2 linked regions of the Oryctolagus cuniculus genome follow. The protein of the gene in region 2 purifies or fractionates together with the protein of the main gene of each other region. This does not show direct contact. Links are inferred from orthologs where the notes say so. Each region holds a gene or a part of one and is shown on either strand. Other genes may lie near its edges. The genes, in order: CD9 and ITGA3.

Region 1 (7,875 bases), on a different chromosome or scaffold from region 2:
CTCTGCTGGAACCTGCCAGCCTCAGTACAAACAGAGCCCGGCTCAGCAGCGGCCCAGGCTGTCTGGGCGCCAGGGGCGGGAAGCCAACTGCCCCACAGTCCACACTGGCCCAGCCCCTACCTCCAAGTCAGGCAGCTTCTGCCAGGAGCAGCAAGCCAGAGGGAGGGGCTTTGGCCGGTGCCACCCTGCTCATCCATACCCTGCCCAGGCTCCGAATCCTGCTGCCTCACGGCTTTTCTCGGGGGCAGTTTTACGTTCAGGAAGACTGGCGCAGGGGCAGGAAGAGGTGGCAAAGAAGGGAGGCATGGTGCGGGCGGAAGTGCTCCTGGCTGCATCTGTGGCTCCCACTGCCACACCTGTCAGAGGCTGCTCTCCACTCCACCCTGTGGAGTGCTCTCCCAGGCCACCCTGTGCAAGGCTACCACGCCAAGGGCATGGCCCACATTCTTGAGCTGCCACAGCAATGCCCGGGGAGACGCTGAGCACCAGAGGGCTAAGGTGCATGGGCACTGACAACACCACCAGAGAGCCCACCCAGGGCAAGTAGAGGGGAGCGAGAGGTAACAGGAAAGAGACACAGGAACCAGGTTCTTGCTCCAGAGGCAGAAGTCAGGGGCAGCGATGCTGGGAGGATGAGTCTTGAAAACACAGATCTTTCCATTTCCTGACTTCCGCCTGGGGCTGGGGCTGGGTGTGAAAGTCCTATTGCTCCAGGGGTTGGCTTCTAGGCTGAGTGTGATGTTCTAACCTGTTCGCTGGTTTTACAAATGGGGAAACTGAGTTCCGGGGCACAGGTCTGGGGACAGAGTCCACGTCTCCCATTGGGTCCAGGTGACACCATTTCTTGGGAAAGAGGACCCTCCCTGCTATTTCCATCACTGAGGGAGGGTCAGGGGTGAGCCATGATGAGCAGAGTGGAGGAGGTGGAGGGCGAGGAACTGGGCTCACTCAGTTCAGCCAACTCTTCCCCTCCTTTATCCTAAGGAGCTCCAGGAAGAAGGCGGAAACCCTCGCTGTGCAGACTTAGAATCTGCGAATAGAATGGGGATGGCACATCCCTTGGGTAGCCCTAGCCCTGGTCCCCCCGTCCAGCTTGAACGGGGTTGTTTAGCACTCTGATACTAGGAAGATGTTTTCCCTCTCAACTGTTTTGCAGGGGGTTGGCGGGCAGGGAGGGCTGAAGGAAATGCAGAAACAACCAAAATAGAGCTAGGAGGTTTGGTTCTGGGGGTGTTGGAAAAACAGGCTGATTGCTAGTTTGGCCATGGGCATCAGACACCGGACATGGGGAGGGCTGACTGCACAGGCGCAGCTGTCACGGAGGGATCCTCAGGACTGAGAGCAGGGCCAGACAGAGGCACAACGTCCCAGGTGGCCCACAGCCTTCCCACTGCCGCTGGGGCTGGCTTCTCTCTCCATCCCCGCCAGACCCCACACCGCCCCATCGCCCGTGCCCAGCATCCTCAGTACAGGAGACGTGGGGGGCTCCTGGCCTCACAACTCTTGCGTTTCAAGACCCATATCGGCTTTCAAATACCAAGATATAAATCCCTGGTCTTGGAACAGAAAGGGAAGTGGTGACATCATCATAATCCAAGCAGTCTCCTTAGATCCTAGATTTCCTTAAAAGAGTCTTGGAGCTGTTGTTTGGCCTGGCAGTTAAAACGCCTGCATCACACATCAGAGTACTGGGTTTGATTCCTGGCTCTGGCTCTTGATTCCAGTGTCCCTGCTAAAGCAGATCCTGCGAGGTAGCAGCGACAGCTCAACAGGATTCCTGCTACTACGTGGGAGACCTGGGAGGAGTTCCCAGCTCCTAACATCAGCCCAGACCAACCCAAGCTACTGCAGACATTTGGGGGAATAAACCTCTAGATGGGAGTTCTGTCTGTGCCTTTCAAATAAAAATTTGGAAAATAATTTTTTGGGAGGAAGGGGGAGCTTCATCCCACTGTCTTGCATTCCCACCCAGTTGGGTAAAATAACTTAATCTGATATGCTCCTGCCACATGACCTTGGCACTTAACTTCTTTGGGGACCAAGTTCCCTGGTTGTCGGTAAAGGGGGGATGACACTTCCTGCTCTGTGTTGGAAAAGAAAGGACTTTGCAAAACACGGCACAAAGTGCACCACCATCATCTGGGGGGAAAAGGCGTTACCTCTGCAAGGACCCCAGTACAAGACAAGTGACCAATAAATACTCAGGAAAGTGTGGTCGCTGCTCATCTCCCCGTGACGGGCTTGGCAAGGGACAGAAGGAGAGGAAGGGACCCAGGGGTTAATGGCAGTGGCGCTGTCTGGGATCCTGGGCAAACCCACTCAGCATCTGGTTCTCTGCTTCCTCACTGTGAAGGAGAGCTCCCGCGCCACTCCCAACTCTCAACCCAAACATTTCCAGCATGAGTCAGCCTTGTTTCGGCCGGCAGAGCTAACCAGCAGCACCTAGCCCAGGCAGGGAGCTGTGAATTCGAGTGGGGTGGCAGGCTGGAAGCAGTCTTGACAGATTGCGGGTCCTGCAAGACTCCCATCAGCTTCCCCCATGTGCCATGGGGCTGATGGGGGTGCAGTCTGGCTGTGGCAATCTAAGCCAACAGCCGAGGGCTAACCAATGGACTGGCAGGGCAGAGGGCAAAGCTCCTCAAATGACGAGGGTGGGGTGAGGCTCCTTCAAACATTCTTTTCTGGGACACAGACTTGGGGAGAGGCAGAAGCTGAGACTGGCAGCTGGCTGGCTGTAGGTAACACCAGTAGGAGGGGGTGCCCCCCCCCCAGGGCAGGGCCTCCCTGAAGCTGCCTAGGGTCGGGCAGGGGCACACCTATGTGCTATGCTCAGCAGTGTGTGTTGGGCGTGCAGACCCTCGCGAAGGCAGGTCAGACTGCAGGCTGCAGAACGGCTCTGCTACGGCGCCTTCAGCTTGCAGAGGGTCAGATCTTAGGGCGTCTACCCCAGGGCCCCAGGGAAGCAGTCATTTGTTCCAGGGGAAGAAGTGCATTTCTGGGGTCCCAGTCTCTGCCCTCTCCAGCTTCCTCTCCTGAGTGGTGCGGGAACTGCCCTCCCAAACCCTCTCCAGCCTGCAGACGGGGCAAATGCGGTCCATTTGTGTGTAAGGGATATTGGCTCTGGACCAGGACACAAAAGTCCCTGCATCCCCCAAGGGAAAAAGGTGTGGCCTGGACACACTCCTTTCCCACTGCTTCTGATAGCCAGTGGGTGTGCCCGGGGCGCCCTGCCCGGATGGCCTCTCCAGGTGAGCACCCCGCCTGGCCATCGGGCAGGCAGCCCCAGGCACCTGATCCCAGGCCGGAAGTGCCAAAACCCGGGACTCATCGCACTGGAGGCGCCGGCGATAGGCATCAGCTCCTACTTTCCTCCCCAACTCTCCCAGAGTTCTCTCCAGTTAAGATGCTTATCGCCCTCGGAAAACAAAATCAAGCCAAGCTCGTCTTTCAGGTTGCTGCAAGGGAGCGCGGCCGCTCGCACGGCGGCGCCAAGCCCCATCTTGGGTGAAGGGGGCCGCGCGGTCCCTCCCCCAGGGGACCCGGGGTGGGGGTGAGGGGTCGGGGTCTCGGCTCTCACCCAGGCCCGGGTCCCCTGCACTGTTAAAGGGCGGAGAGGACAGTGTCCGCACCGCCGAGTCCTCGGAGCGCCCGCTCCCACGGTGGACCCCACCCGGCCACCAACTGCACTGCCCGCCGGTCCTCCCCGCCCAGGGCTCTGAGTTCCCGAGAGAGCTGTATCCCGCTTCTCCCCGCAGCCTTTCCCATGGAGCACACCCAAACCCCACTCCAGTGCGCGCGGAGGAGAGGGACGCGAGCGGCCGGCACGCCCGGGCTCGCTAGAGCCCCTCGCGGACGGGCCCGTCCCGCGCGCCCGGGGCCGAGGTGCCAGCTGGCAGCCGCAGGGCCCTCTCGCCCGCCCAGCCTGGGCAGTGCCGGCCGCCGTGGCGCCCCCGACCCTCTCGGGGGGGGGGGGCTTGGGGGCCCAGAAACAGGTGGCCCGTGAGAGGAACGCGCGGTCATGGCACGCACTCACCCAGAAGACGAAGTTAAACCCGAAGAGCAGGTACTTGATGCACTTGGTGCCTCCTTTGACCGGCATGATGCTGAATAGAGGGGCCTTGGCTGGCTTGACCGGGGGTGGGCCTGGGAACACGAACGGCTGCGGCTGCGGCTGCGGCTGGGGCTGAGGCTGAGGCTGCGGCTGGGACTGGGGCTGGGGCTGGGGCTGGGGCTGGGGCTGGGGCTGGTGGAACCCGGCAAAGGACGGAGGTGCTGGCGGCTGCTGCTTGGCCTCCGGCTGCACTTTTAAAAAAGTGCCACTCCTTAGGGCGCGCGGCGGGTTCCCTGCGCATGTGCCGGGGCCGCCGCCCCCGCCCAGCCCGCCTCCCGGCCCCACCTGCCCCGCCCACGCCCCGCACCGCCCAGCCCAGGTCCGCGAGGCAGGGACCCTGCCGCTCCCCGAGGCCTCGCCCCTGCTCTGCTTCCCTCCACCGCCCTCCCAACTTCCCCGTCTCCTTTTCTCTGCCCCGGGCCTCCCCTGGCCGCCACCCCTGCCCCTGTTACCGGGGGGTTGTACGGGTAGCCTCGCCCTTCCGGTGGTCCCCAGACTGGCGCTGCACTTGGGGGTGCCTTCGGCGGGGCGGCGGGAGCCGGAGGCCCCTTCCCCACGGCCGCCTGCCCCCACGGGTCCTGCTGCGGCTGCTCCAGCCTGAGGGGCCCCCGCGGGTCCTGCTGCGCCTGCTGCAGCCTGAGGGTCGCTGCCTGCCTTTATTTCCCTCTCGGACGGCTCTTCACAGGCCCTCCGGTGATGAACTTGCTCTTCTTTGGCACACCAGGTGGAACAGGAGGTGGTGGTAGAAGTCCGCAAGGCCGGGTGGGAGCACACCTGGGGCTTGTGGAAATCGTTTATCTAGTAGAGTCGGGCAGCCCAGGTTGCTTCCGGGGCTTGCGGTGTGGATGCCCGGTAGGAAGGTGAGGGGTGGTCGCCACGTCTCTGTTCCACTCCTCCACGCGCTCTTGCTCGGGACTCCCAGAGCTGCGCACGGCTGCCTGTGGGATGCTCCCGGCGACCAGCTCTGAGCCGGCTCCCCGCTACTCAGAAACTTGCGGCAGCTCCGCGCATTGTGACCTAAGGGGAGACACCTCACCTTGCTCTCAAGGCCCTGCTATGACACTCCTCTTTCTGCCATGCCTCTCCTCACCCCTGCTCTGCCTCCACCTGGCCCGGCCCTGCCCCCTTCATTGGAAGGACAGGGATGGCCCCATAATGTCAACACACCTTTCCTACGGGGTGAGGAGAGTCTTGGTTTTTGGAGACCCTTGAGCCCTGTTGGCACTTTTTTCCCCCCAAAATGAGGCTCTTGGGGCCGGAGCTTTGGCCAAGCGGGTAAAGCTGCAGTGCAGGCATCCCAAAAGGGCGCTGGTTCAAGTCCCGCCTGCTCCACTTTCAATTCCGCTCTCTGCGATGGCCTGGGAATGCAGTAGAAGATGGGCCAAGCCCTTGGGCCCCTGCACCCGCACAGGAGACCTGGAAGAGGCTCCAGGCTCCTGGCTTCCGCTCGGCGCAGCTCCGGGCATTGTGGCCATTTGGGGAGTGAGCCAGTGGATGGAAGACCTCTTTCTGCCTCTGCCTCTCTCTAACTCTGCCTTTCAAATAAATAAGTAAATCTTTAAAAAAGAAATGAGGCTCCCATGATCATTGGTTATTCTTACCAAGGCAAAGCCTGCTCATTACAAAAAACACCAGAAAATGCTAAGAAACAAAAAGGACTCAACAAATTCCACGCACTGGAAGCAGCCCCTGGTATCGCACTGTAGCTCTTGCTTTGTCTCCGTATTATCCTTAGTCTCCTCTCCTGGACTGAACCATTCAAATACATGTTTCCGGTACATGTGACGGTATTTTATAGGAGCTGGGAAAGTAGATGAGATCTTATTTCTGCCCTCCAGGCAGTTAAAGAGCAATCAGTAGTGGCAGTGGTGGCGCCTCGGGTGGTGGCAGGCAGCACGGGATGGGAGGAAGGTGATGGGTGGAGTGACAGGTGGGCGTGGGGACCAAGGGAGCTGGGAGCTGGGGCTTTAGCTCTAAATCAGGAAGAATTAACTTTTCCACAGGGAAACTGACAATAGAGAGAGAATCCTGGGCTGAGATGGGGGCTTCCTGGGTCTGGGCTGGAGCTCGCAGTGGGAGGCGTGTGGGGAGGGGAAGGTGCGGGGTGTGGGTGCCAGGTCTCTCAGCCGCGGGCTCTGTACTCTGAGTGAGCATGGCCAGTGAAGGGTTCAGGGAGGGGAATGAGTAATGAGCTGTGTGTTCCAGGTAGGGCCCTACCTGCATTTTAGGTTCTCCTTGGGTGGAAGTGGGTAGGAAGGGGACAGGCAGGAAGCTCCTGCAGGGCATGGGCCATTGCTGGTGTCTGCAGTCCCTGGCTCGGAGCTTTGGGACATTGGACAGAGAGCTGAGATGCTCTCTGAGCAAGCTGTCTCTGGGTGCCATGGGGGCAGCATCGGGAGATGAAAGGTGTGCCGAGGGCAGTGGAGAGACAAGGTGAGAGACAAGGGGACACGAATGAGGCTGGGGCAATGGCCGGGGCAGCTGAGTGATGGGATGAGGTGGGAGGGGGAGGGACAGCTGGGGCTCAGAGGGGCAGCAGCCAGGTCATGGAGGGGGCTTTGCTCATTTGCTGTCAGTGTCTTGGGTGCTTGTATATGATTCCGCATGCCAGGAAGCAGCCTCTGTCCATGAACAGAGCGCGGGAGGATCCCAGTGTGGGGCAGGGAGACCCATGAACAGATAACAGGCTCCTAAATCTTTGTTCAGCAGAAGATAAGACACAGCCTAGGGACAAGGAGTGGGGCCAGGGGCTGCAGAGCCAGGGACGCTTCAGAGGCTGACTTAGGGAGGTGGGGTCGGCGAGCAAAGTGCCGGACGGAGGGAACTGTGTGCGCAGAGGCAGGAAACCCACTGCTGGCTGCTGACTGCTGGGGAAACCGCGCGTGGTGAGACGGGGAGAGGACCGGACGCAGAAGCAGAGCCTCCCCTGAGCTTCGTGCCACGGGCCGGCTGGGACCCCACAGTGTGGGAGGCTTGTGGGGATGGTGGGTAGAGCAACAGACAATGCCCCATGGTGCCTCTGTCCACAGGAGCCCGCTACTTGGGAGGACAGGTGTTAGGTCAAAAAGGGGCTTCATCTCTTTGGCTCCTGCCTTGTGGTGGGAAGAATTCAGCCAATATTTACTAGTAGAAAGTTCTCTTTAGGGTAATAATGAGTCATGAATGAGCTAACCTGCAGGGAGCTTGGTGCCTGCCCATTGTGACAGTTATGCTGGGGCATCACACAGAAGCCAGGAGGTATGTGGGCTGAGACCTTGGGATTAGGGTGCCGGCCCTGGCCCTTTGGTTTGCTCTGGACAGGTCCCCTCCTCTCCCTGGCCTCGCTCTCCTCACCTCTACATAAGCATTTGGGATGAGATGTGAAGAGTCCCCTCCGTCCTGACACGCTAGAGGGCCGAAGTGTGTGTTCCAGGAAAGGGAGACATGGAAACAAATATGGTTTGCTTTAGCTGGAAGAGGAAAATCTGGGTAAGCCCCTGAGTCAGAGATCACAGGGAGGCAGCCAGGCCTTCCAGGCTTTGTGGAGCTGGAGTGGAAAACTTCTCCACCCCGCCCTAAGGTCGCCCGGTTTCTGGAAACTCCTCTCCCCCCACCTCTGCTGGAGCCCGGGGTCCACATTGGCTCCTGTGCTCCCCCTGGTGGTAAGATTTGAACACGCGGGAGCAGGGCACGCTCAGGATCAGCCACGCCCACTTCTCTGGCTCTGCTGGTACCCTCCCTCTGCCCTTAACTCCCAGGCCACCACACCAGTGGCCATGTTGTTC
Region 2 (7,928 bases):
ACGCCCCACCCTCCCCAGAGATTCCACAGGGAGCCCCCCACCCCCCTTGGAGTATTTTTAGCTCCTGCTTGGCCCGCTCAAAGGCCCCTTAAGGCCCTTTGGCTCCCAGCCCGGGATCCAATGGGTCTACAGCCAGAGGCCTGTGCGTGCACGAGGGAAGGCGGCGTGCAGAGGTCCAGCTTCCTCCAGCCACAGCCAGGTGAGTGCAGGCAGGGCTGCAGAATCCAGAGGCTAGAAGGGTCCTTACTGACATGAAAATGAAAATATAACTTCTAGCAGCCGGTGTCGTGGGGCAGCAGGTTAAGCCGCAGCCTGTGACACCGGCATCCCATAAGGATGCCTGTTTGAGTCCCAGTTGCTCCACTTCCCATCCAGCTCCCTGCTAATGCACCTCGGAAAGTAGCAGAAGATGGTGCAGTGGCCGGCGCTGTGGTGTAGCGGTAAAGCCGCCACCTGCAGTGCTGGCATCCCATATGGGCTCCGGCTCAAGTCCCAGCTGCTTCTCTTCTAATCCAGCTCTCTGCTATGGCCTGGGAAAGCAGTAGAAGAGGGCCCAAGTGCTTGGGCCCCTGTACTCACATGGGAGACCTGGAGGAAGCTACTGGCTCCTGGTTTCTGATCAGCTCAGCTCCAGCCATTGTGGCCATCTGGGGAGTGAACCAGCAGCCAGAAGATATCTGTGTGTGTGTATGTGCGTGTGTAAAACTCTGCTTTCCAAATAAATCTTAAGAAAAAAGAAAATAGAACATGTAGGCAAATAAGCACCTCTGTGATCCACCTGCTGCTGGGTCTTGTCCAGAGCACAGGGTCTAAAAGCCAACCCCTCCCAGGCCACCAATGCACCTGTCCACCCAGCCCAGGGAGAAGGTGGGAGGTTGGATGGAGAGATGGAGCTCATGGAGCAAGGAAGACCAGAGATGCAACCAGGTTGGGGTCAGGGAGCAGGGAGCCCCTGGGAGGAGGAGGGTGGGGGAGATGACCTCTCGGGGGCTTTCCAACAGCTGCCTCCTCACACCCTCTCATCTGGCTCCAGGCAGACAGCCCCTGCTGGCCCCTGGGGAGGCTCCTGAGCTCTAAGCTCCAGAAAAGCTATGCTCACCCCTGCCCGGTCACTCCTCCCGGGCAGTTCAAAGCTAATGGAAGAGTCAAGTAGCGAGCAATGGAATCAAAGAAGCTGAGGAATGGGACCCAGGAGAGATCAGGCACCAGGTTGGCTCATTCCAAAGAGAAGGAGGTCCCTGGGGGAACACAGGGTGGGGTGAGGCGCAGAGAAAAAAAATCCATAACATCCAAAAAAAACTTCCCGGGAAGGTTTCAGAGGGGGCCAGAGGGACCCAGCACTCAGGCCAGCTCTAGGCACGTGCTCCCCTCCCAGGCCAGGAAGCAGGAGGGGAGGGGGCCTGCTCTAGCCCTGATCCCCAGAGGGTAGGGGGATGGGCAGTTCTCAAGATCTTGGATCCCAGCTCAGTGCCAGCGCTGTTGCCCAAATTAATCATCTCCCCAGAGGCAGTTCCTGCGGTAGCTGAAGCTGCAGCCCTCTCCATCCTCCCGCTGCTCCTCCTCCACTGCCCACCCAGCCCCCTCTCCCCACTGGTGACTCAGCCCGAGAGCCAGAGCGACCAGCTGGAGGCAGTGAGAGAATGAGAAGGCATGGGAGAAGAGGCCGTGGGCAAGGCTCAGGTTAAGAAAAAAAAAACTATTTTTTTCATTTCTTCTTCTTTCTCTCTCTCTTTAGTATCCCTGTCCACCACAGGGCACTCTTGGTGTCATCTAACCTCAGGTAAGAGGTTACCGCAAGGACATCCTCCCCCCCCCCCCCCCCGGCTTAGCCCTGTGCGACCAAGCAAGCCCCTTTTGCTGCTGCTGCCTTTGCGGCTGGCCTTCCTCGGTGCCCGCCCACTTCAAAGACCCTGGGGCTGTCACTGGTCGCTGGGGAGAACCGGAGGGAAGGGAGCTGCCACGTGCAGCCACAGCTGCTGTGCCCATTTCTGCTGGCACGAGCCTCGGAGGCTGCCAGGCACCCGCCCCACCCAGGGGAACCTGTTTCGGGAGAGCACAGCAGGTAAGCTGGGCTCCTGCCTACCTTGTGCCTGACATCATTTCCACGAGCGCCAGGCCTCCAGATGCCCTCATTTCCAGCAAAGGATAAAGGGAGAGAGGCTCAGAGCCTGCCCTCATGGCTCACAAGGACTTCCAGGAGGGAGCAACAGGGCGGGTGCCACCTCCCTCCAGGGGGACCGCATGCATCTCACCATTAGAAGCCAAAGTACCCTGGTCTCCCCCATGCTCCTCTTTTCCAGGGATGGGGGACTGGGTCGTGCATTGGCGGGAACCCCCGATGATGTGGGTGGGGAAGGAAGGCGATGGGGCAGCAGAGAGGGTCCCCCTACCCCGGGGTGGGGATTTGAGAACAGGAAAGCTGTGCTCTCCCCTCTTCCCGCTCCAGGACAAGGAACAAAACACACAGGATTCTGCCTCTACTCTCAAAGATCCCTCATTTCCTAAAAACCTTCTATGAACCCCAGACTCACAAGCCTGTTCTCCTTCCAAAGGGACTTTGAGAGCAACAGAACGTGAGGCCACAGCTTGGCTCGCTAGTTCCCCCCCGGGCGCGGTGTACCCAGGCAGCTGCTCACATCTGGCTACACAGCTGGCTGCTGCCAAGCCCAGCTGGCCCCCTTGGCTCTCCCACAGGGCCAGCGTACAGAATTCAGTGAGCCAAGGAGGTAAGCCTAGAGGTAGACCCACTTCTGGAAAAAGACTGAGGATGCCCATGCAGGGAGGCCCCAAACTCTCTCTAGAACCACCTGCCTCTTGGAGGTCCATGAGCTCTAACCTTCTTGCAATTGGAAGGCCTAATGCCATCTCGAGCTGCCCAGGCAGAAAAGCAGAAGCCCTTAGCTCAGCCATCTCGGGTGGAGCTCGTGGGTTCTGGGGGTGCATCCAGGTCCTGGTTGCAGCACCAGAGCCTGCAGCTGCACCTGGGGGAAGTGGGCATATGTAAGGTACTTTATAAAAAAAATCATTTAAATTTATTTATTTGAGAGAGAGCTTCCATCCACTATTTCACTCCCCCAAATGCCCTTAATGGCCTGAGGGCTGAAGCTGGGAACCAGGAACTCAATCCAAGTCTCCCATGTGGATGGCAGGAACCCAACTACTTGAGCCACCAGTGCTGTCCTGCGGGGTCTGCGTTAACAGAAAGTTGGAATCGGCCTCTGGTGCCGGGAATGGAATGGAGGCAATCTGATGAGGGGCGCAGGTATTTAACTAGCGCTTTATGGCGAGCCCAGACGGCCACCTGGGCAGTGCATTTCAAACACATGGTCCCATTAAAGCCCCACTGGCGCCCCTAAAGAACGAGCCCCTTTCCCCTTCAGAGGAGAAATAGTCTCAGGGACAGACCCACGACCGGACCCTGGCAGTGGCACTTGGGAGCCTCTTTGCCCTCCACAATGCCAAGTCGCCTCTTGCAGGCCCTCGGAGGTGGGCAGGAGACAGAGATCCAACTCCAAACCCTTTTTGGGAAAAACTGTCCCAGGGAAGGAACGTGTGCTGCTCAAGGTCACATGGTAAAGGGGGGAGGGGCGGCCTCGGAGTCGCTGCGTGTGCTGCCTTCCCAGACCGATCTGCTCATCACCCTGCAAACTCCTATCCAGCAGCCTGAACATCTTTTTCGCGGGCCAGGGCAGGAAGAGCACTGGCACAGAGAATCGCCCCGATGGTCGTTCGGGGTTTGCTGAAGCCAGACAGCAGCAGGAGTCAGACCAGGAAGGGTGTGGTGGCCCTCACCTCCACAGAAGCCAGATGGAGGTGAGGCTGCACCCGGGCAGGCAGGCTGGGTAGGGGCTGGGCCGACGGGGCAGAGGCCAGGGCTGGGGCAGTTTGGACTTTGACCATTCCCAACTTCCTCAAGCTTCTGCAGGCCCCAGCCGGAGCTGGGAGAGGTTTCTTCCAGCTCGGTGGGGTCAGAGGCCAGGGGAAGACAGACACCTGTCGGGTCACCTGGCCGGTAGGGGCCAAAGCGGCTTGCAGGACCTGTCCTAACCACTGTCCCAGCCTGGGCAGCCTCATTCTCCCCCTCCCCCGGCCCTGCCCCCAGCTGCCGACCTCAGCACACTCTGAGCCCACAGCAGAGAAAGCCCTGGAGCCTGGACATGCCCCCGGGTGTGGGTCCCTACGGAGGGAGTCTGCGGGGAGGGGCAGGCAGCTGGATGCTCTCTTTCCCTCCTCCCCTGAGCCCTTCCAGCTCCTTCTCCTTTGCAGCTGTCGGGGAAGGAGAACAGAAGAAAAACACCATTTCCCTCTTCAAACCAAAACAAACACACTCAGGGCTGCGATTCAACATGAATCTGTGGAATGCGGGGATGATGTCTGGTGGGAGAGCGCCCCTGCGGCTGGGAGGCGCAGTCCCAATGGGGACAGCTCCTCTCTCTCATCCACGCCCCTGCGCTCACGGGGTCAGAAGGAGCTTCTGGACAGCTCCGCATGGCCGCACGGCCGGACTCAGCCGTCGGCTCCCCGCTCCCCCTGCACCAGCCCGCCGGGCGGTTGAGCAGGCTATCCCGTCTGGCTCTGCAGAGGGCGTGGCCCGCGTGGCCGCAGACTAAGTGCGAGGTGCGGGCTTAAATGCATGTGCTGTGGGTTCTCCCCGGGAGGGGGAGGGGCACTAGGTGTGTTTATCTTGTTTATCCAGCTCCCAGCCCTGGAGAGAAGAGGCCAGCGCTAGGCACTCCGTTCACCCGCTGGCTGGGGGCTCAGGCAACAGGGACCACACTTCTGCTCGCAGAGATCTGAAGGGTGGAGGGGCCGCGTCTAGACAGGTTCTGGCCAGGTCAGCACTTGCCAGTGAGGACTGCCCCCCACACCACGCCCAATCCTCCACTTCCCGCCAAAGCTCGGCAGCCCGGGGGGCTGCTCGGAAATCCGCTCCCCAGAATCCTGGCTCACAAGGGTCGGGGGGTCCAGTGGGCTGCGACCCCGCTCCGGCACCGCACCCCGCCGCGCTCACTCCGTCCCGCCCCACCCCCGCCAGCCCCACTTACAGGTAGCGTTGCTGCCGCTCGGTCTGCCGGTGGAGGGCGACCGAGTAGCCGAAGAGGCTGCTCGGGTTCTTGGCCTCCTTTACCACAAGGAATCGGGTGTCCAGGTTGAAGGCGGAGGCGACGCGGCCGCCGGCCGCCACCATCAAAGCGAACGCGCAGAGCAGCGGGCGCGGGGCGCCGGGCGCGCGGCGGGCGCCAGGGCCCATGGCTGCTAGCCGGAGCAGCGGCCGGGGCGAGAGCGCGCGGAGCGAGGACCTGTTCACCTGCTCCCTGGCTGCCGAGGCCACCCGTGCCCGCAGCGCCGCTGCGCCTCCGAGTGCGGATCCGTTCCTCGCCCTCAGCCCCGCTCAGTTTCGCGTCTGCTCCGGCTCTGCGCTCTCCGATCCCCTTCCAAGGTCCGCGGGTCTATTCAATCGCCTCTCCCGCAGTCGGGTCACCGGCCCCCTAGCTTGTCCCGGCCGCGCCCCCTTGGCTGCGCTGTCGCCTTCGATCCCGGCTGGGCGGCGGATCCGGACGGGGAGATCAGTCGACCGCCGGGAGGCCGGGAGGCCGGGAGGGAGGGGTCCCACTGCGCGCGCCCCGCCTTCCCCACGCCCAGCCCCGCACCTCCCCACCTTGCGCGCCCAGCCCGGACTCCGCTTTCCTTCCGGGGAAAGAGAAAAGGTCCCCGCGCGGCCACCGCCTCTTAAAGGGGCAGCACCGCCCCGCCCTCCTCATCCTTCCTTCCTGGCTCCGCCCTCTCCCTCAGACACCTGTCGGGAGCCCCAAAAAGCTTGAGTTTGCCCTCTCCGCCCCTCGAATCTCTCGAGAAGCGTCGCCTCCGGAGCGAGAAGGGTTGGACGGGCGGGGCCGGGGCTGGGATTTGCCCCGCCGCTTTGCTGCGGCTGCTGCCGCCTTAGGAAAGGCCGTTGCAGGCGCAGCCACCTCTGCTGTCCCGGCTGAAGAGGCCGGGCGTTGGCGCATCTGAGAACGGTCTCCCCGCGCGCTGCTGGTTGCAACGCTCGGCTCGCCTCCGCAGCGCTGTGAGTGCCCAGGAGGTGGCTGGCGGTCTCTGGGCGCTCTCCCCGCACCCAGCCCCTCCTCTGTCTCTGTTAAGATTTATTTCTGCGATCCACCCGCCCCCACCTTCCTGATTCGAGCTGGGACTGGCTCCACAGCGAAGCCAGACAGATACTTAGTAGTGGTAATTATCAAACATCGCTAATTGTAATTAGCAAAATGATAACATTTCCCCTTAAGGGTTGCTGCTTCTAGAAGGTGGATGCGACTCTTGAAGACGAGTCCCTCCGTAGCGGGAACTGTGTGGCCAGAGCTGGCCCAAACTGCACCGGTTTCTCCTCCACTACTGCCTTCAGGGACTGGCCGGCAGAATCTCAAAGGTCCACTCCTTCGCTCAGGCTGAGGCTGAGCCAGGGTGGGGTTGCTGGGCAGGAAGACAGCACCCCCAGGTGAGCAGTGGGGGGGGTGCCAGGTGGAGGTGGGTGGGCGGCACCCAAAGATCTCATTATTCCTAGAAGAATCAAACAGAAAAGAGCTGCCAGAGGTCACTGTGTACTTTTGAAGTACAATAGATGTCTCTTACTGCAGCGCAACATTTTCCCTGAGCGTTTTTCTTTTCTCTCTAGCTTCTCACCATCATAGTAAGAGAAATCCTATCGATTAAACACATATGCAGCGTGAACTGAGTGCTTTACAAATATGAATAAATTAAAGGCTCACAGCAATCATGGAGCTGTCCTTTGTGTTTCAAGATGAGAAGGCTCAGGCTAAGGACCCTCAGCTAGGAATCTAACCCCGTGTTTCGGCCCCTGGAACGCTGCTCAGGAGCACGCCTGCTAACTGAGCTCTGACAGACCTGGCCTCTCCTGCAGCCTGGGGCTCCCTGTAAGGAGCAGAATACAGAACTGAGACTGAGGAGATCAGAGTCAGAGCCTGGGACCTGGCCCAGCCTCGCTTTCCAGTTTGTGAATCATTTCTTGGGCAGACCCATTTCATCCGGCCAGCTTCCCAGGGAGGTCAGGATCACCCTCTTCATTTCCTTTCAAAGAATGGAGCCCCAGGACAGTCCAAGGTCACACAGCTTATGGGAGGCAGGGCTGGGATGGAAACCATTGGCCACAGCACTGTCTCTAAGAGACAAACTCTGGGGCCAATGCTGTGGTGTAGTAGGCTAAGCTTTCTACTGTGGCGCCAGCATCCCACGTGGGCACTGGTTCGTGTCCCAGCTGCTCCACTTCCCATCCAGCTCTCTGGTATGGTCTGGGAAAGCAGAGGAAGATGGCCCAAGTCCTTTGATCCCTGCACCCGCGTGGGAGACCTGAAAAAAGCTCTCGGCTCCTGGCTTCTGATCAACCCAGCTCCAGCGGTTGCCGCCAATTGGGGAGTGAACCAGCGGATGATAGACCTTTCTCTCTGTCTGTAACAATACCTCTCAAATAAATAAATAAAATCTTAAAAAGAGAGAGAGAGAGAGACAAACTCCAGGCAGATGTTGATCAACAACCAGACGTGTAAACAAAAGCAGCTGCGATAACAGCTTTTTCTGTGGTGGTTGGGAAGAGGATGCTTGTCCCCGACTGCCCTTAAGACAGTGTTTGTTCCCAAGCTGTGACTTCCAGAGCCACCCAGCCTCCCTCATGGTCTGCCTTGTGGCCCATGACATCAGGGTAAGGAGACATCCAGGCCAAGGCACAGGAAGCAGACCTAGATAGAGGTTGACCAGATGGCTTTCCCATCCCTCCCTCCACCCCTGTTCCTTCTGCTACTTCCTGGACTTCCTAGTTTGTTCCTAAAGAAGGAGACACAGCCAGGATCAGGAGGACAGGGGCCCAGGATGGACACTCAGTGTGGGTATAAGTCCTGCCACTCAGAGTCTTGTGATGA

Evidence for each region.
Region 1: the proteins of ITGA3 (region 2) and CD9 purify together in Homo sapiens (affinity purification with western blotting; 3 studies listed by BioGRID and IntAct, with this or other methods). This does not show direct contact. The link is inferred for Oryctolagus cuniculus from reciprocal best matches to the Homo sapiens genes ITGA3 and CD9.

Annotation. Positions count from the first base shown.
Region 1 is NC_091440.1:103,273,117-103,280,991, forward strand, and holds the start of CD9 (CD9 antigen), read right to left. Parts: upstream 4,297-7,875; 5' UTR 4,100-4,296; coding exon 4,034-4,099; intron 1-4,033. UniProt on the Homo sapiens protein: Integral membrane protein associated with integrins, which regulates different processes, such as sperm-egg fusion, platelet activation and aggregation, and cell adhesion.
Region 2 is NC_091448.1:26,033,864-26,041,791, reverse strand, and holds the start of ITGA3 (integrin alpha-3), read right to left. Parts: upstream 5,252-7,928; coding exon 5,046-5,251; exon of another isoform or gene 4,697-5,045; intron 3,814-4,696; exon of another isoform or gene 3,036-3,813; intron 1-3,035.